2 linked regions of the Kluyveromyces lactis genome follow. The protein of the gene in region 2 interacts with the protein of the main gene of each other region in a pairwise test. Links are inferred from orthologs where the notes say so. Each region holds a gene or a part of one and is shown on either strand. Other genes may lie near its edges.

Evidence for each region.
Region 1: the proteins of KLLA0_F01298g (region 2) and DFM1 interact in binary tests that used the Saccharomyces cerevisiae proteins (3 or more experiments, as listed by UniProt). The link is inferred for Kluyveromyces lactis from reciprocal best matches to the Saccharomyces cerevisiae genes UBX7 and DFM1.

The regions. Positions count from the first base shown.
Region 1 is NC_006037.1:186,899-190,021, forward strand, and holds DFM1 (Dfm1p), read left to right. Parts: upstream 1-1,772; coding exon 1,773-2,621; downstream 2,622-3,123. Other genes in the region: ERD1 (Erd1p), read left to right, coding at 1-476; rRNA-processing protein RRP17, read right to left, coding at 523-1,254. UniProt on the Saccharomyces cerevisiae protein: May be involved in the degradation process of some misfolded endoplasmic reticulum (ER) luminal proteins.
Region 2 is NC_006042.1:120,593-123,978, reverse strand, and holds KLLA0_F01298g (UBX domain-containing protein), read right to left. Parts: upstream 1,992-3,386; coding exon 810-1,991; downstream 1-809. Other genes in the region: phosphatidic acid-binding protein CHM7, read left to right, coding at 1-702; serine/threonine protein kinase CHK1, read left to right, coding at 2,419-3,386. UniProt on the Saccharomyces cerevisiae protein: Involved in CDC48-dependent protein degradation through the ubiquitin/proteasome pathway.

The sequences.
Region 1 (3,123 bases), on a different chromosome or scaffold from region 2:
GTTCACAATTGTTCAATGCTTTTAAGTATGCTGGTAATATTCCTATCATGCTAGTTACAGTCTATACAAGATATTACAACCTGGGCCCACTTGGAATGATGTATTGGTTCATGTTTTGGAATTCCGCGTATTCATTCTGGTGGGATGTGACCATGGATTGGAAACTAGAGCTGTTCGATTTTGTGAATGGGGACACTAGTGTCAATAACAATAATAGTAGTAACAAAGCGGACGGTCTTTTAAGAAGCATTTTGTTGTACCGGAAAAATGCGTGGTATTATAGCGCTATGGCGCTCGATTTTATTTTGAGATTCGTATGGTTCTGGGAGTATATCAGTGGGCACTCTGTATTTTATGGGGAATTAAACATCTTTTGGTTACAAATTTTAGAGATAATCAGAAGATGGATTTGGTTATTCTTTAAAGTCGAGGTAGAATACATTGCAACAACAGAGGGGGGGAAAATGGATGAATGAGATGTTTAGAAAGAGAGGAAGATAATAAATAAAAAAAAAAGGTTAATTACTTCCTACGTTTATTATTGTTGGCCTTTCTTTGATTTTGTCTTCTCTCGTTCTTGGTCAAGTATCTGAACTTCTTATTCTTTTTACTCTTATTACCAGATTTTTCTTCAACTCCCAAAAACTTTGCATATTTCTTCGCACGTTCGATGCTTTGATCTAAAATTTGTTCCGATTTCTCTAACTTCACATTATTTAATTCCGCAAGGTACTCAAAATTGTCATTGGGCTCTAAGGGTTCGATGTCTACCGTAGTATCATCTAAGTAAGTCTGTACATATTTCTTTAAGATCGGTTTCACACTAACAGAGTCAGAATCCTCTTCTTCTTCTTCAGTTGCATCTCCGTTATCATCGGAAAATCCCGTCCATTCTTCAGCCTCTTCATCGCTTCCCTGTTTCCCATTTTCGGCTTCTTCGTCGTCGTCCTCTACACCGACATAATCACCGACATCTTTCATCGCCTGTTTAAAATCTTCAAGCTGTTTCTCAAGAGCCTTTTTTTTATCTGCTCTGATCTTGGCCCTTTCCTCGAGCCTAGCTTTTCTCTCTTGCTCTTGGATGAACTCCTTGGCTTTCTTTTGTCTATCAAGCTTTCTCTTATGGAACCCAGTTAAGTATTCCAACCGTGAGTCCTTATCGAACTTTACCTCATCAGCACCGAATTTCTTAGCAGCTTTCTGCTTGTAAGATTTACCACCGGTAAGAATCTCACGATTACTCTTTGCCACCATTTTCACTCTATATCCACACTGCTACTCTGTATCTTCTGCAGAACTTGAACCGGTCTCAGCACCACCTCAGTAAGTGAAAAGCCTATCTGCTTTCTTCAGCTCATCGCATCAGCAAGTTTTTCCGTTTTAATGCTTTTTCCAAATATTGAAACTTCGAGATACAGAAAGAAATACATAGATAACTATAACATGATTGCATAAGGGCAATCTAGCCGTCCTGACCTAATTTATCTAGACCAATTCATATGCTCTGCCATGCACTAAGTAGAAAACAAATCTAGGCGTATACCTGTGTAGAGGATCATTACTTAACTATTCAATTTCTGTCATTCTGTGCTTTCCTATCTATGTCTTTCCCATAGCTTTAATTTTCGGGTTCTATGAAATTTCAGTTCCAAGTTGCAGTGAAAGAAAGATATTTATACTCACTATACAGATGCGCTGTCAAGATAGACACCGGAGGTACCATTCAGTAACATCAGTGGGATATACGATACGCGTGATTATTCATAGCAGCCATGACTATGCGTAACGAATTGATACAGTTTGTAGGACAAATTCCACCGGTGACCCGAGGAATATGTCTCTTAATGGTGTTAATATGTTTGATCCAACGCTTGAACGTATTACCGTACTATTTCAGCGATTTCAAATGGTCTTTACGTGGTGTATTGTTCAAGTTCCAAATCTGGAGGTTGTTCACTAGTTTCCTCATCTTACCAAACGATGCCATGAAAGCATGTTTCGACCTATACGCAGTATACTCGAAATCGTTACATCTCGAATTAGTGCACTTCAGCAACAAATCCATCGATTATTTGTTTTACATATGTTTCAACTTTGCATTGATCGTCGTGCTCGTAGAAGCATGCCAGATCTCATACCCAGTGTTCACTAACGCATTCATAGGAATGATCCTATATACGTGGACTCTGGACAACAGCAACGTGAAGGTAATGTTCTACGGATTATTCCCAATCTTGGGTAAATATCTATCGCTAGTGCATCTTTTCGTTTCGTTCTTATTTGATGACGGGACCGATGGTTACAGCAGGTTTTGCGTCACAATGGTCGGGTTTTGTGCTGGATACGTTTACTCCTGCCTAGACACATGGACTTACGGTCCCTTGTACGGTTATCTGATGGGGAAGGACCCAGCGTACGGATTCTCTGGAAGAGGTCATTTCAGATCACCAAGATGGTTCTCCTCGATCATTCTATGGATAGGACGTGTCCTATCCATCACCTCCAAACCCGTTTCGTCATCAAACAGGACAGACCCCGTGACCAGAAGAAGGTTGAGAACCCCGTTAAAGAAAAGCACTTTCGCTGGAACTGGAAATAGATTAGGGACCAAAATAGACTGATTAAGGTACTAATAATCCGACATACTGTTATCTATATTATCTACATCTCCCTTGTGTATATATCATTTGTGTTATTTTATTTACCCCAGGTTTAATGGAAATATGTCGACAATGGAAAATTGATTTTGTATGATGGTTCTGCCTAAAAGCCCGTTATGGCGAGAAAATAGTTGATGATCAAAAAGTGTTGGAGCAAACGAATGACCACAGGGACCAAGAGTGGAGGTGAAGCACGTCTTGGGTACAGGATTGCAGAGAGTTACTGGTACAGGTTCGTTGATGATCACTCGGTTCGGACGTATATAACGGAATGGGCTCTTGTGTAATGAATGATCAGCAATTCGGATTTCTCGAGTTTCAGCCTTTTATGAATAAAACCATGTACAAATGAGCTAGTATTATTTAGTATATATATAGCTGCATTTCAGAAGTTAAGGACACCTTTCGCTTTTAATAGGTTTGTTCCGAAAATGGTTTCCTTGCCGGTTTAAACAACCAAAAT
Region 2 (3,386 bases):
TTGAGTGCGAGCCCCCAGGTAGCGTCCAAAGAAGTATCTGAAGAAGATATTTGTGTTGCCAATATTAATGAATATGTATTCACTGCGGAAACGGAGATAAAATCGGCACAAAAGGTGCTAGATCTTACTACCAAACGGCTGACAAGCGCTATTTCATCGGGTCTTTCTCAAGAGATTAAGAGAACACTTCTTAGGTTGAAAAAACGCTCAGAAAAGAACTTGGAACAAGCTTACACGAGTTTAGAATCTCTTAGGAAACTCCAAGATGAAATATCCAATGCTTCACAAAATGTGGTTATGATTAATCTTTTAAAACAAGGCAGTACCGCTTTGAAGGCTATCAATTCACAACTTTTAGATGAAGATTCTATTTCAAACATATTAGATGATTTCCAAGAAAATACAGAGAAGCAAGACCGTATTCATAATTTGTTAGTAGGAGAGTCGGTTTCCGACAATGATGCTCTTGAAGAAGAATTGTCACTGTTAGAGAAGGAGCTATCAACAGAGGATACAAAAGAGAAGGAGAAAAAGAAGATCGAAGAACAAAAATCTGCAGCACCTTTGGAATCTGGCTCAACAGAAGATTTGATAAAGAAACTTGGATCCTTGAGGGTATCGAGCAGGGACTCTCCTCGTGCAGAGAAGACGGAAGTGAAGGAACCGAAAAAGGAAGAGATGACCGAGAAACTGTTGGCCTAATTCTTCCGATAAGAGTGATTGCTCATATTTGGTATTAATATGTATATTTAATTCGTTCATGCATACATATGATATTTAACATAAAGGCGATTCATAAATCAGGTGTGCTATCTGCTGTTGTCGTCTGAGACATGGCCGTAATGTATAGAAGATGGAGAGACAGCTCTTGAGGGTATCGATGCATCAGAGTGTACCAGACGAGGGGAAGATAAGGGAGAAACATATCTAGATGAAGCTTGAGATGTTAATGCTTCAGCAGGTTCAGGAATATTTTGATCAACAACCGTTGATTTACCGTACCACCAGGACGTCACGTTCTGATACATTTTCCCAAGCAAACCTGGTCCTTCTACATCTGCAATCTTACGAGAATATGTATGCTTTTCCAAAGGCTTCAAGATTAATGCAGATCTTGGAGTAAGCTCCAGAGCTTTCAAAGATAGTAATTCTTGTGATTCTGTGAAAGTTTCACGTGGAATACTTCGATGGAACTGGTACGGACCATCCTTATCTGTCCTATTGGCATCCACCCAAGTCCTTACATCGTTTAAAGTTTGAGACGAATCGAAATCGTTTTTCAATGTCTTACCGTCTGTTAATCTTATAAGCAAGGTGCACACTGCTGCGTTTATTATATCTCTGTTTTTAATATTATCGTGAATGGGTACAGCCAATACTTCATTGATGTGTTCCTTAGTATGATTTGGAGATGATGACGATAATCTTCGTTGCTTCATTTCTTCACGGTCCGCTTTCATCAATCTAACAATACGTTCTCTTTCCTGTTGTTCTGTCAACTGGTGCTTCTTGGCCTTTATTTGGTACTCCATCAATTTCGCATTTTGTGACAGACAGCTACCGGACCTGGCGCCGGTATCACCAGCGGCACCAACGGTATTGGATGCATCAACGGCATCCGTTTCAGAGATTCTCCTCTTGCTTTTACCAACTGCCCGGATCAACCTAGTAGCAAATCCGTCCATGTCCAACTGATCTGGATTTATCATCTCCACTATTTGTCCCTTAGCAATACAATAAACGCTAGGAACCTTCACATCCGGGAATATTTGCTCAAAGTAACCCATTTCCCTGCTTCCAGCAGCTAAACGTAACCAAACGCACGAATCCTTCAACTGCTCCCCTACAAGTGGTGTAAACCACGACTCAAACCACGAATTATCTCCGCCCGTAGTATAAACCAATAACGCCTTGTTCTCTCGCAATGATTCTTGTACCGCATTTTCCACAGAGGAAACAAAATGCGTATCCAGTGTATCCATCGTATTCATATTTGCCTAATCTTACACTTACCACTCCTAAAAAGCTCACCACTGCTTCGTTGCTTCTATCAACAGTATCGGATTTGTTTATTGTTCACTGATTAAACTATAAACGTAGTAAAACCCCTTTCAATGTACGTTTTTATAAATGCAAAGAAATGACAGAAACTAATGACTATCGCAGATCTGATCAGAAAAGAAAAACAATAGTTTTATGATGATACTTATGGGGAAAACGGGATTTATATACGAGTCTCCGACGTGTTATCCTAGGTAAATCACTTGGGGTTCAGTTAGGACGGTTGGATGATATTTTGAGCACATCAGTTGCGTAAATATTGAATGTGCGTTTGGCTGATATAGCTGGAGATTTCTGAGATACGAACCGACAAGAACAAAAAAGAAGTAAAAGAAGAACACTTCGATTGATGTATTGATGAGCTTTTCACAGATAGCTCAGCTCCCTCATATTGATGGATTACAACTAGGAAGAACAATTGGGAAGGGCTCCTTTGCCTTTGTGAAGAGAGCTAGTTTAGAAGTTGATCCGTCCACTGTAATTGCTGTCAAATTCATACATCTTCCTTCATGTGAGAAACAAGGTATGAGTCAGGAAGATGTGTTGAGGGAAGTTAAGTTACATTCTAGATGCTCTAATTTTGTTAATGTGCTAAAGGTTATAGATTGCAATCTTTCTGATCCGTTTCTTTGGATAGCCATGGAACTGGCTGAAGGTGGTGATCTTTTCGATAAAATCGAACCTGACATTGGAGTCGACTCGGAAGTCGCCCAATTCTATTATAAACAACTTATAAAAGCTATAAGTTATCTGCATGATACCTGTGGTGTTGCCCATAGGGATATCAAGCCGGAAAATATCCTATTGGATAAAGATGGGAATTTAAAACTTGCAGATTTTGGGCTAGCATCGCTGTTCAAGAGAAAAGATGGATCAAAACGTATTTCTAGAGATCAACGAGGAAGTCTTCCCTACATGGCACCGGAAATAATATACTGTGATGGGTACTATGCTGATATGACAGATATTTGGTCCATTGGTGTTCTATTATTCGTTTTGTTGACTGGAGAAACGCCTTGGGAACTTCCTCACGAGGACGATGAAACGTTTAGAAACTTTATTAAAGGCGAAGGAAAGCTAGATCAGGGATCTTGGCTGAAGATAGATTTCGTTGAATTGAATCTCTTGAGAAAAATATTACAACCAGATCCAGAGAAAAGAGCTTCTTTGGATACTTTACGGAAACATACATGGTATCAAACAAATCCGAAATTTGCAGATGAAAATGGCCTTTGTAAAAATCCTTCTTTGCTTGCAGAAAAATTACTATCAAAGCTTAAAGTTTCTCTATCAGATGCCGATTATTTATCTTCTACGCAGGAAGT